2 linked regions of the Tribolium castaneum genome follow. The protein of the gene in region 1 interacts with the protein of each later gene in a pairwise test. Links are inferred from orthologs where the notes say so. Each region holds a gene or a part of one and is shown on either strand. Other genes may lie near its edges.

Region 1 (8,528 bases):
GATTTGTTAATCTTAAAATAGTCAACCATTCTAGATCGTAACTAATTTCAATTTTTTCCAAATTCGTGTCATGAGGTACATCAACAACTTGCAGAAACCTTCTTTTAGGAAGGCACTTATCTAGTGCAAGAAATTTGGTGATTTTGCCACACTCGTGTGGCACCACTGCGGCAAATTTACAGTGCAAATGAGCCGAAAACCAATAATCTGGCTTCAAATGATTTAGCAATTCTTCGGTTGGTTTGCTACCCAGTTGTCCTCTGCTGATATCTTCTCTAAAAAATTGATAATAATCACAAATTCGGGGAAATCTTGATTAATAAAGAAAATTTCCCTGGTGCCATGTCTTCAGAAACACAGGGAAACTTCCGTTACTGTGAATTACTCGAAAAAAGGTTTAAAACGTATTAATTGCGCCGCATTTCCATATTGCCAGATCCCCGAGGGCCAATCATGTGATAAAAAAATATCCAAAGGTTGAGACAGTTGTTTCAACCGAAAAACTTCCAAATTTCTGATGTGATAAACGCTGCGTTTTGAACTATCGCTGTAAGGCGAATGCTCAAAGTGACCTTTCATGTAATCCTGTCCTTTGTAAATCCCCGAAATGCCCCCAATTCTTAAACCTGAACAAATATTAATTAAAGAAGACAAAGTAGCGATTTTAACCTGCAATATTGACCACTCCGGCATAACCCAAGTAGTAGATGTTCGGGGCCACCCAGCCCCCATATGGCAACTCTTGCAGATAATTGGACGCTTCGTGGTTGCCCCCAATAAAAATCGTGAGAATTGGGGCTGTTTTAATCCCGGTGTAATACCTGAAATTTGGTTATTAACGCAACGAAATGGACGAACTTTGATTACTTGTAAAATGAACAAATGTTGTAGTATTTAGGGGGCACCGCCATGCACCGGAGGTCCGCTTCATTGCGAGAAGCTTGAAAGTCGCCACAACAAATGAGCAAATCGATTTTAAAGCCTTCCTTCTCTTCCAAATATTGCAGAGTGTCGTAAATTATTTCCAATTCGCCGTGGGCACAACCTTCGACCGCAATTTTCATCTCAAAATAATTTTCAAAAAAAATTGTTGGTTAAAAAAATGTTTGACAAGTCCAAGGTGAGGGAAAGTCGGCAGATGGGAAATCTGATATAAGAAAACACTAACAAAAATAATTAATTGTGCGTTAAACACACAAACAAAAGTATACATATTATACGCTGTTGTAATCTCAATGATTAAATATGTATAAAAAAAAACTTGTTAAATAAAATAATTGTTTTTTCATTTACCGTTATTCGCTTAATGTGTACAAAGTGGGGGCCAAATTTCCAACCTAACCTATAAAAAGTCAGTGTCAAAGTTGAAAAACCGTAATGTGAAAGTGTTGCGTTTGCGAGAAACTGTTGTGTGTCATGAGGCGAAAAATGTCGTTGAAGACCGTCGGTATCGTCGTAATTAGTGACGAGGTTCTTTCCGGCGAAAAAACCGACAATACTAGCAAATATCTGATCAAGGAACTGGCCTGTTTGGACTATAGTGTGGGCAAAGTCTCGACAATCAGTGAAAGAGAAGATGTGATTTTTAACGAACTTCATGCACTAATGAGGTCTTTCGACATGATAATAGCCGTTGGTGAGCGATGCGGGGTTATTTACAGAGCACTTGGCAAAATGACCTCACAAGAACTTGAAACTAGTGATGACCTAACTCGAATACTCGCAGAGATTGGCGAGAATTCGAACAAAACTGAGACCTTATTGCCGCGGCAAGCTAAAATTTTGCATTCGGGACACAGTTATCCCGTCGTTTACTTCCAGAGGATTTTTATATTGAAGGAGAAGTTTCTGAAACAGAGTTTCACCAAAGTTTTAAAGAATCATTTATTGAAGTATAGGAAAGAGAGAAACTTGCAAAAAATAATCGAAATCGTTAAAAACGGAAACTTGACAATTGATTTAAATGAATTTAAAACCAATGGTCTCCAACTGGAATTTAGCAAAACTGATAAGTGTTACACTTTCAAAGTGTCGAGTCCAGAATTGCGCGAAATGGTGGAATTTGAGAGGAAAATCAGTGACAGGTTTCAAAATTATAATTTAAAATTTATCGATAATTCAGACGTGTGGGAACACGTGTACTCCAGCAATGAAACACACATCAAACATGCAATTGAAGTAAGTAAGAGGTAAGACAGTGTACCCGCCACTGGTTTGACTCATCGTAGTTGTCACCATGACAATCCCCATTCATGTCCTGCTGTATTACCATAGTTACAGCACGTTTCTATGGCAACTGGAGGAGCCATGTGCGACTCGTCAAATAATTTTGTTTTTTCCAGAACATTGAAGAGTGTTTGCAACAGTACGGTTTAGAGAATATCTTCGTGAGTTTCAACGGCGGAAAAGACTGCACCGTTTTGCTCCATTTGGTTTTAACAGTCGTCAAGAAAAAATTTCCTCAACATTCACAACCAATTCCCTGTCTTTACGTCCAAAGTGAAAGTCCCTTTCCCGAGCAAGACGAGTTTATTGACTTGTGCAAATGCTACTATAATTTGAAAATAATGGTCATTAACGCGGGAATCAAGGATGCTTTGGGCCAAACTCTGGAAAAATATCCAAATTTCAAGGCATGCTTTATGGGGACGAGACGAACAGATCCGTACTCAGGCGATTTGACAGTTTTTCAGGTATTTTTCGTCAAGTTTTGAAGGTGTTTTTGAGAATTTGGTTACAGATGACTGATTCCAATTGGCCTCAAATACTCAGAGTTAGTCCGGTCCTGGACTGGCATTATTCCGATATTTGGGATTATTTACTCTTCTATAAAGTACCGTACTGTAAATTGTACGATTTGGGGTTCACCTCGTTGGGGAACACCGTAAATACGAATCGGAATCCCTCTCTTAAGTGCTACGAGCCGTTTGACGAGGGCGAATTTTACTTACCGGCTTATAAATTACTGAAAGAGGTTAAGGAGCGCAATGGACGGAATACGAGTTGATTTTCGGGGAAAAACTAGCTGAATTTATTTCTGGGGGTGGAAATGTAGCAAAATACATAGATCGTACTTTATTATTTATTGTATATGTTGGTTCTGTAGAGTTTATTAATGTTGTTTAATAAAAATGTGAAATTGTGTTTTATTGGTTGTTTTAATTTAAAATTGGCTCCGGTCAGCGCTGCCAACTTGCAATCTACCAACCTGACAAAAGGTGCGTTGTGTTAGCACTATCATATTTGTTTTTTATTTTCCGATTATTATCGTTATCTTTTGCACGGTCTCGCAGGTATTTGTACCTTTTTGCGCCCTTGGTCACATAGTGTGTTTTTGGCAAAATTGGCAACAATTAATTTTTTACATCGCCGACAAGTCAAATCAACACAAACAAAATGGCGATTATTTTCAGCAAATTTTCAGGTGTCAGAAGTAAATAGAAATAATTAATTTCAGTTTTCAGAAAGGGGGTTTTGTGCGCGTTCAGGTTTCTCGACTAAAATGTTTCCATCGCATGGTTTTTACTAGAATTGTGAGCGGGGTCGTTGAGGGGTTACAATATTGTAACGTCTCTTTGTTTCAGGGAATTTAATGGATCATCAGGTTTATTACCGGTTCGCACAAACGAATGGGGTTCCCCAGGAATCTAAACTAGCAAATTACATGGTAAGGTGTTTACGTAACGTTTCAGTTACGGGATTTTCGTTTGTAGAACATTCAAAATTCGAGTGGTAGTTTGCACCAGTCGTTCCAAAGCAAGTTGAGTATCGAACCGAAAAAACCACTAACGAGTCCCCAATGTGTTGGAGGGACAAGTCTGGTGTCCAGTGCTCCAGGTATTGTGTAACAGCTGGTGGCCTTGAAACCCCAACTGTTTTCTTTTTTCCATGACGCTCTTGGACCCATTGACCTCTCCTAATCTAATCATTTGTTTTCAGCTTCACCCAACATTTTCAACTCTTTCACCCCAACGCTAGACCCTTCGCCCATTCGATGCGTTTCTGACCACCCAGAAAATTCCAGTCAATCAGCTTCACCCAATCGCGTCAGCAGCTGTTCACCCATGTCAGATGTAAATAACATAGCTGTTGCGGCATATCAGGTACTCCAGACCAACCGAAAGCCGGTAATACAGGGTCCGCGTGCTTTTAGGAAAATGTGGGCGGGACAACGTACTTTTACCCAACCACCTCGGAAACTTGTCACGCCACTGATGTTGCTGTCAATAGCAACCTCACCTCGGACTACAATGTGTACCCAGGCACCCCTAACCACATCACTTCACTTAAGGCCAAGCAGGGCGCCTCGTTTTTCATATCAAAGGACCTCCAGATGGAGCTGATGAATCGCAACGCCTTGACGCTCATGCAGGCCAATCAGCAGTACGCAGGTGATTGTTTTTACCGACCGTTGTTTTATTCATGGCCAACTAACATCAATTGTCGATGAGCTCCATTATCACATCTTTCGTTTCCAATTCTCCCAACCTAAAAATTCTTATGAGGCGCCATATCTTCATTAACATACGAAGCAAGTAGTAGATTGATTTTATAAATTGTTTTGCAAGTAAAAAAGCTATTATTTTTATGTTCGGTTTTTTAAGTCGTTAATAGGCCTAATCTTATACTAGCTATCTTTTCTCATAATTATCTTTCACCTACGATGGTTATTATTAGGCTCGAAAACGCTCATAAACCAATAAACCTTCACTGAAACATTACTCACAAACGAGAGGTTTTGTTTACTAGATTTTCCCCAAAATTTCCTTTGATATTTCCTTCAAAATTTCTCCTGATTTTTAAAAAATATTTTTCTCAATATTTTCTCTAAATTCTCTTAATTTGGTTAAGATTTCTCCTAATATTTTAAAATACTGTTTTTTTGTCATTTCCTTAAGATTTTCCTTGAATGTTTTTATAATTTTTCGCCTTTTCTCAAGATTTCCCCTAATTTTTGAAAGGATGTCCCGTCATTTCCTCACGATTCTTCTAATTTTTTTTGTTTTTTTATATTGATTTTTGGCGATTTGCTCTGGTTTCTTCTGATTTCCTCAAAAATCCCTGATGATTTTCCGTGATTTTGTCAGGATTTCCTATAATTTTTCTCCCCTCCAGATCGTTATAAAAAATAAATTAGGAATAAATGGAATTTCGAGTTAGACTCCAGTGATTTTGTTTCCTAGTAATTAATGTTATCTTTTTTTAACAAAAAGCAATAATAATAAAAAATAATAATAAAGCAAATCAGCTTTATTTTACATGCAATTTTTTGAAATGTATCAACAGGACGACTTGTGTTCCTAATGTGTCTTTCAATGTCTTCAAATTAATTTGTCAGATTTCAGCAAAGGCTAAAAATCGTTTAAAGTTTCTTAAAAAACATGTTCATTTTTGTAATTTGTTACAACTTTATATAATTTGCATTTTTTCTAAACATCAAGAAACATGAAAATTCAACTAATCAGTTTTTACTCGTATGTGGTATATGTTAATACGTTAATTCAAAACTTATATTAAAATAACGTTCCATATTCATGTCCAAATTTCATTTCTAGAATATTTTTCTCTCTTTTGATCAAGATATTAGTCTCAAAGGAATGTGTACCTGCAAATATTGAATAATAATTTTCCTACAACACTATTCAATTTTAGTGTTTCTATTTGAATGTTTTTGGTCTCTTATATGGTAGACAATATTTTACTGTACAGGGGTGTACACAAGAGATATTCAGTACGCTATAGCACATATTCCAACAAAATCTAGAAAGATAATAAAAATTCTCTAGATTATTCATAACAGCATTAAAAAAGCAAAGAGGGGAATTTTTTCTTTTAATTTTTAAAATTTTTTTAATCGGCGATATAACCAAGAAAAGGACCAGAAAACTAAAAATATCATCTGGTAATAGTTAAATAAAATCCATAGTTGCAACTGGTAACTACTGTACAACAATTGAAATAGATTCGGTGAAAAGACTCAAGTACTGGGTGTTTCAAAACTATAAAAAAATGGCAACAGCCTACTTAGATTTTTTAAGGTCAAATAGGTCACAAATTTAAACTTTCTGTATTTCCGTGTGATTCTGTATTAAATTGGAATCTAGTGACAAGTTTAGCTTCAGAATTGTCTTAACTACATACAGCTTTCGTGAGTTGTAGACCACTTTGTACTTTTTTTTTAGAGGGTTCCTTAAACGACTTTTAAAACATACCAGAGATCTTATGCACTATTTTGTATACATGTTGTATAATTATTATCGAATTATACTTTAATTTTTGCGATTATTCACTTCTGTTCGTGATTTCTCTGACAAATTTAAATTATCAGTTTAAGATGTCATTTAAACATTCATATTTCTTAACGACTGTAATTGGCTAGATAATTTATTAACTTTATTTTAGTTTAAATTTTTCCGTGCATATGGAGCTAGTTACGGAGAGTAATACTTTTATGTTAGGAGAATCAGTCAACGGATTTTTTGTTTTTGTTGTGTTACGGCCTTAATGGATCAAAGCGCAAATTGATATAAGTTGGCCATGCAATAACACCCGCCATTGATTTGTGTGACCACTACGTTTTATTACCATAGTTACAGCACATTTTTATAAACACTTGGGCGATTTTTTTAAATTTTCAGACCTGCCGCAAGTGGAGAACTACCACGAGTTGTGCCCCCTTGAACGCATCCCGAGCAATTCGCTTCATAAGACCCATTTGGGGTACCAAGCGTCCATGTACAAAGCGATTCATACTAAAACCGGGACACCGTATTGCTTGAGACGGCTGCATGGTGAGTACAGCGATCTGTAATACCGTCTCTAAGTTTTGGTCTAGGATTTCGTCTCCAAAACGCCAAGTGTATGGTGGTGGTCGACTTGTGGAAAAATCTGAATCATTCCAATATTGTACAGTTGCAAGAAGTCTTCACGACTAAGGCCTTTGGAGACAATTGTATTTTTACGAATTTCAAGTGGTTTGAAATAATTGTTATTTGCAGCGTTAATTTTCGTTTATGATTATTATCCCGGGTCGGAGACACTCTTAAGTAAGTATTTTTCGTCCGATCAGCCCGATCCCTTCGCCCCCGACACCTCCCCTAGGCCGTACAGCCACCAGAAGAACAGTATACTGCGGCACCAACAAAACAACAAACTTCCGGAATTTCTGATTTGGAACTACATTATTCAGCTCACTTCCGCCTTGCGTTTGATACACTCGTCAGGTGAGGCGGCGTTGTCTTTAGGACATTGGTTTCAAATTTTTTTATCCAGGTCTGGCCTGTAGGAGCCTTGACCCGACAAAAATAATTATCACTTCGAAAAACCGATTAAGATTGAGTTGTTTGGGTGTGATGGATGTGGTTTTGAACGAAAACAGCGCATCGGTGAATCCCCTAGCCTTAGTCCAGCACTACCAACAAGAGGATTTAACAGCTTTGGGCAAGTTAGTTTTAGCTTTAGCGTGCAAATCGACGGTGGCTGTGCAAAGGGAGAACATATCCACAGCTGTGGACATCATCAGTCGTTCGTACACCAGCGATCTTAGAAATTTGATTATGTTAGTAGACTGAAACAATTGAATTGGCGTGAGTTTTGAGTCGGTATTACAGGTATCTGTTATCGCCACAACAGCGGAAAAGCATCACGGACTTGATGCCAATGATCGGTGCGAGGTTTTACACCCAAATGGACAATTTGCACAGCTATATCGAAGTGCTGGAGTACGAACTGTCGAAAGAGATCGAAAATGGGCGGCTTTTCAGACTTATGGCCAAGTTGGGCACGATTAACGAGCGACCTGAGTAATTATTATTTTTTGTTTTAATTTATAAAGGAGGGCGTTTTTATTGTTTTGAAGTGGCACTATATAGTTTTTTTTTTGTTTAGGTTGAATATGGATGGTGCTTGGGCCGAGACCGGTGACCGATACATGCTCAAATTATTTAGGGATTACGTTTTTCACCAAGTGACTGAGGATGGCCGTCCTTGGGTCGATATGGCACATATAGTACAATGTTTAAATAAATTGGACGCCGGTGTTCCTGAAAAGGTATGAAGGGTTTAATGGATAGGGAATTTCATTTTTATACTGCCTTTATGCAATAAGTGATATGAATAATATTCCTAAACGATTTAACTCGTTTTAAATTTAAAGAAAGTAGTCATGACTTTGAACCAAAGTGCAAATATTTTAACAATAGATTAAGCAGTAGAAATAAGTTGATCGTTTTTTTTTTGTGGAATTATTAGCCTCCAAAAATATTTATAAAATTTATTAACTTATTATTATTAATAAATTAATACGTAAATAAAATAAATATCTAAAGTAAAAAAATGTTTAGAAATACATATGTGATTTTCCATCATTGAAAATTTACGTATTTCACTAAAACAAATGCTTAGCTTGTTATTTTAGACGGGAAATTGTTCAATGGATAAACATAAAAATTAATAAAGGGCGATAGTTGGGTGACATATTTAAAAACTGTTCACATTTAATGTAATGTAATTTAATGTAACCACCGTTA
Region 2 (7,658 bases), on another chromosome or scaffold:
AAAATAACTGATGCGAGTACATTTAATGAGTCAAAAATATTTCAGTGTTTCACCTTTCGCCGTGCATTTTACACAAAATCGTGACTCGGTTCTGTAACCTACAAGACAATAAATACAAGTGATTGGCCGTTTTCAACGGAACATTCGAAGAATATGCGCTGAATGTCTTGTAACTGTACCCAGGATACATCTCATTAGAGCACCTGACCCCGAGTAACTCACCTGGAGATCAGGAGGACATTCGTCCATCAGAAGATTCGACAAATTTGACATTTTTCCGTTTAAACACCAAACACAATGCAGAAGTGATTCATCTTTGATTCGCGTCAAAGAATTGATCGGCGGCGGAAGGCCAATGCGGCGTCGCGACGGCATGCGCCGTCGGCGGTCATTAAAAAAATTACAAGAATTTTAATCACTCTCTATTGTTGTTTTTTCTCAAGCTCTCGGATCGTTAACTTTCACACGGCGATTTTTTTCTTACCTGGTGCTGCATTTTGGTGGGCTTGCTGCGAGCGGCGGCGGCGGAGGCGGCGAAGGCTCCTGCGGCCTTACGCGACATGCATTGCCCCATGAGAGTTCACGCAAGGGTGTTTCTCGAAACCTGTCGAAAACACCGTAAGAGAGAGGAAAAGGGCAAATGAGGCAAGAGTATGCGAATCTCGAGAGCAGAAATGAAGTAATTAGGAGTAAAAGACAATTAGAACCTTGACCAAGCATAACAGTTGGGACGGACTTGTTATAAATTGCTCGCACTTTCTTTTTCATTCTCGTTTTTACGATTGTGCCATTGCCTATGTTAATGGTATCAATTAAATGCAAGTTTAGACAGCTTTTTAAGATTCTTATCATTTCTTGGAAAAGAAAGTAAGTCTAATGCATTATCAAAAGTGGTAATGAAAGTTTCAAACTGGTCTACAAAAGCCGATTTTTCCCATCACCGAAGCTGATTGAGACTGTTGTACTTACAGTAAAAAAAATCGGTCTTTGACGTACGGACTTCCTAATGCAGATGCTGGAAAATTCTGCTCTTTCATTTATCGTCCTTAAGGATAATGTATGCGCATAGTAAAAACCTGGAATCTCCTTGGCGCCTGAAGGTCAGGTCTTTGATTAGTTCAGTCACATGAATGAGATTCCAAATTTTTATCATTCCGGATTTGTAAAGGTCACTCACGCCTACGCGAACATGCCAAAGAAAACACAGTGCGATTTTGCACTACTTGAATCATTTAAAAAACTAAATTAAATTTTTACCTTTCAGAAAATGAAAGCAACTTCGAATATGCATATTCACATACTAAGAAAACTGATGAATGTTTTTAAATTTAATTTGAGCACTATCTCTGTGCACACTACACAGTTTGTTTTAAGGTGAATGAGATAAGCGACAAGTGTTGTAACACAGGTGTTACACCTCCGTGACCGCACACATTCCACCGACTGCACGTAAATGGCAAAAACGTTTCATTACAAGTGCATTGAACATAATTCCCAACCTAACTTCCCATTCCCATCCCATTGAGGACCATCGAGAATACGCAATGTGAATGTGGGGCGCATGCGACCTCGCATAGACAACACCCTATACAGCTCGACTGTCCCAGGCAAAAACACAGCTTTTTATTAATTTATCAGTAGACCCAAAATAATTTTTTAACCAGCCTCTTTGATGGTGTTCACTTAATCTAAAAACTTTGTAGTCAAATTAACAGTTAGTAAGTACCCAAAAACTCACGAAACTGCCACGACTTTATTTATTAACAATTTTTTTTTAAATCGAGAATGGTCCTTTTCAAAATTTTAGAGTTTTCATTTCCTTAGAAGTCGCGATTTTCTTGGGTGCGCGATAAGGTTGCCTTTGGCAAAAGGTAAAAGTACGTAAAGGCGTCAAATTGTAAACGTAAGAGCACATCTTAAATCTAGTGAAAAATTAGAGAATTAAATTAAAAAAAAGTGGAAGATAATGTTTTCTCGAGCTAATTCGCCGACTTTTGAACTGAATGTATTTGCGTTTTAGGTGAATTATTGCAATTATATAGTTTGTAATGTAGATTTATTCAAAAAGTTTGTGTTAAAATATCTGCAAAGGTTGGTCAGTACGTGGGGCCCTGATGGCCCAGTGGTATAAGCACCACTTACGACGGGGGAGGTCGGGGGTTCGAACCCGGATCAGGTGTAAAAAATTTTCTATGAAAAAAAAGTGTAGAAAAGGTAGGTGAAATAAGAAATAAACAAAAATAAGAGATTGAGAAAACACAAACGTAAAGCAGAGCATAAACAGAATTAAGAGAATAATGCGGCAAAAGATAAAAGTACGTAAAGGCGCCAAATTGTAAACGTAAGAGCACATCCTTATAAAAGAAAAATACCTTTTGTTTTGAGAGAAAAAGAGATAAACGTAAACGTAAAACATAACTTCAAACAGTTGTAAAATCAACTTATACGCCCGGCATCTTTTGATAAAATTAGAGAGTTTAAAAATTTAATCTTTAGAGGCTTTTATTTTGCTTATTTTCAAATACTGTTGGTCGCAGTAATGTGTGTTGCCTACTGATTGCTACTTATGCGCTATCTTACAATGGGGCCAAAAACTATTTTTAATCGACCAATAACGTCGCTTCTTTTACTGCTTTTCATACCCCTACCATGGGGGGAGCTGTTGTCCATCAGTTAATTTGACAGCAAACGTTTTCGAGGTTAATTTATATATGTGGTTTATTTGTGATTGTGTGGTTCTGATTTGGAACGCTTGCTTTAACCTTATCAAGTGATTAAACAGTTTGGGGTAAGCGTTTCCAATGCTACTTTTCGGTTTTACTTGATGTTGTAAAACAGCGCAGCCCCCTTGTCTGGCAATAATGACGGGGTGGTATTACGACAAGAAAGAGTTACGAAATACACCCTCGGCCCAGGATGGTATTGATTACGACACCGAAATGCGTTACCGCAAAGAAGGTTTGTTTTTATTAAAGTAGTTTGGTAAAAGTTGACGATTTTTTCAAGGGGCTCGCTTTATTATCAATACTGGGGCCAAAATGGACCTCGGTTATAACACAACAGCGACTGGAGTTGTGTATTTTCACCGTTTTTACATGTTCCATTCGTTCCGCCAATTTCCCCGGTACGTAACAGCTTGCTGTTGCTTATTCCTGGCTGGGAAAGTTGAAGAAACGCCCAAAAAATGCAAAGACATTATAAAAACTGCACGTGGGTTGTTGTCAGATCAGAAATTTGCGACTTTCGGCGACGATCCGAAAGAAGAAGTAAAAAATTTGATTTGCCTTGTAGTTGTGTAATATTTTGTAATTTTAGGTAATGACTTTGGAACGCATTCTGTTACAAACAATCAAGTTTGATTTACAAGTCGAGCACCCTTACAGCTACTTGTTAAAATACGCCAAGTGCCTAAAAGGCGACAAAAACAAACTGCAAAAAATGGTCCAAATGGCTTGGACTTTCGTCAACGACAGTCTTTGCACAACCCTAGCCCTGCAATGGGAACCCGAAATAATCGCAGTGGCCCTCATGTACCTCGCTGGCAAGCTCAGCCAGTTCGAGGTGGTCGACTGGGTGGGGCGCACGCCCAAACACCTCCGCTGGTGGGACATGTTCGTCGAAGACATCACCATGGACCTCCTCGAAGACATCTGCCACCAAGTCCTCGACTTGTACTCGCAACCCAGCACTAGTCCCGCCCCAGACAGCCCCCCGCTGCCCCCAAGACCCACCACCGCCAGCCGCAAGTCGACCAATGGCCAGGAAAAACTCGAAATCCCCGAAATGATACCTCCCATTAATACGAAAATTCCGCCGCCTCCGGACGTCCCCCAGTACCCTTACCAGACGTTCACGGGAGCCCCGCCCCCAGTGGCCGCCTATCCGGCGCCGCCGTACGCAGCACCGCTCCCGGCTCCGCCAGGACCACATTTAGCAGCGCCGCCCCCAGGGCCACCGCCACATTTGAATGCTCCACCGGCTGTCTTTCCGCCGTATGTCACGCATCCGCCACCTTTTCCGCCGATGGGGCCACCGGCTGGGCCGTATTATCAGTTGACGCCGCCCCCAGGACAACACCCCCCAAGACCCTACTAGGTTTTGTGGGTTTAAATTAAGTGAAAGACTGGTTTAATATATTTAGTGTTTATTGTAAAAAAATGCGCAACAAAATTAGTGAAATACATTGTTTCAATAAATTTGGTGTTTAAATTAGAAGAATGCACAACAATTAGTTCCTTAGCTTTTCTTATGTCTCGTTATCATTTCGTGGCATCCCTTTTCTGGGGTGTTGCCAGGCCTTCTTCCACGTTTACCTGGGGCGCCGGTATTGCTTCTTCCACCTCTACCTCTTGCCCCTTTTGGGGAATCACTCAAGTTGGTATTATTCTGCTCTGTGCCTTTCGGTGTTTCTTTTAAATTTCCAGTGGTGTTGGTTGGTTCAGGGCCCATATTTACGCATCCATCTGTCCCTTTATCGTTGGCTTGGGCCTCCAACATTCTGTCTCGCTGTGCTTTCAGCCTTTTATGTTCTTTTTCCAACTCAAATAGTCGCTTTTCAGCTTCAGCTAGCTGGTCAATGAGACCTGACGTATGTTTCTGTACAGCGTTTTGAACCCTTGATATCATACTATTCCCTGAAGAGTCCTCCACCTCACTTTTCACTTCACTAATAATCTTCACGAAAGTTTGGGATACGGGGTTGGGGGTTTTGTATGTATTGTTAGGATCACTCAAATTCTCAATGCGGAAGCGCAAATATTCCAACTCATTATTACGATAACGCACAAAAGTCTGTCTCCACGAATGCGTAGACCTATTCTCAGAGCTTTCCTTAATCAACAGGCAACAAGTAAAGAACTCTGGAGGCGCGCTGAATAGATCAATAAACTGCTTGTGCAAAATACGGTCGCGAAATGTGAAATCAAAGCCAGATGCAGGTTTGTACCTGTACCACCCCAAGACACGCGGGGTTAAATCGCCAAGAAAACTCTTGATTTTTTCCACTGGTAATTTACCAGCTTGGTTGTGAAAGTAGAAAGGTTCAGGCCAGGAGAGGGACCCATTGAAACGGATTTCTCGCGAAATGTGGACTTGTCTCAAGTCGTTATCGGTGATTGTTTTTGTCTCCTTCTCGACGAGTTCGCCTAACAAAAACCCCACCTGGAAGTCGATTTTTATTAATTTGTAGAGGCATTCAATAAATTTACTTGACAATATTCACTCTTCGTATTGTCACGCAGGAGGAATGAAAATGCGGGGCCCGAAAAAATCAGTGAAAGCGTCTCAGTCATTTTAATGTGTTAAATCTAACACAAACTAATATTTTTTATTTAATAAACACTGTGATAAAAAACAAATTTAGAGGTTATATTTAAACCTCCGATGTTCGTAGGGTGCTATGTGCATAAAGTCTTCCGAGAACGCAAAAGCGTTAGCGTTAATTACCACTTAACCAATAATTTTAAAGTAGGTAAAGTATCTTCTTTATTATGTTTATTTAAATTAAAAGAACGTCTAAAAATCAATAGTAAAAGGCCGTTTAGGACTTCTCGCACATTAAGTCGCAAGCATACTTTCTATCCATAACGAGCGGTTTATTTAAAATTATTAGGATTGCTACTTTTATTATCATAGCAGAAGTGCACCGAGGACTGTACAAGCCGCCTTAAAGAAAACTTCCCAGTTAGTTTTTATTAATTATTTTATTTTAAAATTGTATATACATAACAAAATTTACATACTTAGGTTAAGGCACTGTTGACAATCACAATAAATATGTTTATTGCTCGCAAAAAGTTAAAATATTTAATTATATACACAGCCATTATTATAATTTGATAATTGGAGAGAAGCAGATGAGATTATACAATACGTATTTTAAAAAATGATCGAATTACATAAATAAAAAAATCTAAAGTGGTAAACATTACAAATAATCAGACTTTAATAAATACTATTTGAGTTTAAAACACGAATTCTACCAAAAATCAAGATTACATGATTAGCTTTTTTTGGACAAAAATTGCAACTTAATCACTACAAACAATGAACACAGCAAACCACAAAGTGCTAAATAAGACGCGTCTGTTTCAAATAATGTATTAACAGCGAATAAACAAATCTATATTGGGCAATCGTTTGTATCATGTACGCTCTTTGATGCCGCAACAATTCCACGACTCTCGGCACACAAACCTCCTAAAAGTGGGAAAAATAAACCAACGAAAATACCACACTCCAACTCACTTGATTATGGTCAACTGTGTACAACAAAAGATCACTTAAAATCGTCAGTCCGGTCCTGCCCACCCCAGCCGTGCAGTGCACCAAAATTGGGGGATTTTTATTATGCCCGGGTGGTATTTCACCCATTGAGTGCTGATGCACCGACTGCATTTCCTCAAGGAAGCCCAAAAAATGGGGCACCGAATGGGGACACCCCTGATCCCCCCAGTCCGTGTAGTGCATGTGCCACAAAGTGCGGTATCTCCGAGACGTCACGTGGCATAAGCGCACTTTACTCGTAACACAATTGCCCGAATTTTGCGAAAACTGCCACCAAACCTGAAACTCCTAAAACTCGTTGGTTAATCAGCGATTCACTCGCTACCTTACATACTTGTCCAATATCAATACATCTCTCGCCATCGTCTGGCATGTAATGCAAGTCTTCGGTACTGTCCGTCAACTGGACAATGAGATAAACCTCCGCTTCCCACACGCATTGCCAAAAATACGGTAAAATAACACGATTCGGCCCTTGAGCGGCGATATAAAACCTCTGTTTGCTGCCGACTGTCGCCTGAGATTAAATCAAATGCGTACAAAAAAATAATGAGTCGATTCGTGGGCTTACCGTGATGTGAGAGGCGTTTATGTAACCAAATTTGTTGTTCTTGCTTGGTGTGAGGCGTAATCTGTTGTCTTCGTATGGAAGGACGTCTTTGAAGCGGTTGAATTGGGCGTTTTCGCGGTGACAGGCCGTCGTGAAATCCGCGTTTTGCTTCTTTTTCGGGATTTTATCGAACTCGAAAAACAGCTGACTGTCGGCCAATTTGTTCTCGAGCAGCTGGCACTGCGAAATCGAATAATATTGAGGCATGGAAATTTTCACTTATTCTGAGAGGAATTAAGAACAAGGCATAAAAACACAACACGTGTTTCGATTGACTTAGGCTGTGTGACAAACCAATTATATTTTTGAACTCCAAAACTATTTAAAAAAGTAAATTAGTCAGCTTACGCAGAATGATCTGGGAAATCGACTGGTGTTAAAAAAATTGCCAACATCTTAATAGTTTTTAAATTAAAAAAATAAATATTTTTGTATCTGCAGTTTACTCAAAAAAGAATTAATTCGGAAAACAATGTTTTTTTTAAACAAATTATTAAAAGAGCTTTCCAATATATGGACAATATTTGAACAAATTGTGGAACATTTGTTGCTTTTATTTTCATCTTTCTTCCATTTTTACTTTTTTTTTTATTTTTAATTGTTTGCCGATTGACTTTTTTTTCCAAGCAGTTGCTTTTATAGAAGTGTCATTAATTTAAACCGCAATGAAATGCCTGATTAACCGATCACGTGACCAACTTGGAGCAATCTTGTTGGTCCATTCGCGTTGTTAACTTTTAACAACGGAATTAATTGAGCTTTA

What was found. The genes of interacting proteins can lie anywhere in the genome.
Region 2: the proteins of PAN3 (region 1) and CycK interact in a two-hybrid assay, tested with the Drosophila melanogaster proteins (3 studies listed by BioGRID). The link is inferred for Tribolium castaneum from reciprocal best matches to the Drosophila melanogaster genes PAN3 and CycK.

What each region holds. Positions count from the first base shown.
Region 1 is NC_087394.1:25,731,616-25,740,143, forward strand, and holds the start of PAN3 (PAN2-PAN3 deadenylation complex subunit PAN3), read left to right. Parts: upstream 1-3,200; 5' UTR 3,201-3,218; exon of another isoform or gene 3,219-3,293; intron 3,294-3,457; 5' UTR 3,458-3,533; intron 3,534-3,584; 5' UTR 3,585-3,592; coding exon 3,593-3,667; intron 3,668-3,713; coding exon 3,714-3,837; intron 3,838-3,939; coding exon 3,940-4,103; intron 4,104-4,153; coding exon 4,154-4,391; intron 4,392-6,638; coding exon 6,639-6,791; intron 6,792-6,835; coding exon 6,836-6,952; intron 6,953-6,998; coding exon 6,999-7,223; intron 7,224-7,272; coding exon 7,273-7,558; intron 7,559-7,610; coding exon 7,611-7,802; intron 7,803-7,887; coding exon 7,888-8,050; intron 8,051-8,528. Other genes in the region: ldbr (lariat debranching enzyme), read right to left, coding at 1-275, 386-626, 670-821, 868-1,064; FAD synthase, read left to right, coding at 1,417-2,178, 2,343-2,693, 2,741-3,007. UniProt on the Drosophila melanogaster protein: Regulatory subunit of the poly(A)-nuclease (PAN) deadenylation complex, one of two cytoplasmic mRNA deadenylases involved in general and miRNA-mediated mRNA turnover.
Region 2 is NC_087397.1:5,734,726-5,742,383, forward strand, and holds CycK (cyclin-K), read left to right. Parts: upstream 1-2,630; 5' UTR 2,631-2,788; intron 2,789-2,838; 5' UTR 2,839-2,861; coding exon 2,862-2,958; intron 2,959-3,006; coding exon 3,007-3,266; intron 3,267-3,315; coding exon 3,316-4,095; 3' UTR 4,096-4,196; downstream 4,197-7,658. Other genes in the region: uncharacterized protein LOC100141942, read right to left, coding at 485-574; BRISC complex subunit Abraxas 2, read right to left, coding at 4,237-5,160, 5,208-5,291; Pez (tyrosine-protein phosphatase non-receptor type 21), read right to left, coding at 6,070-6,198, 6,247-6,573, 6,620-6,802, 6,857-7,075.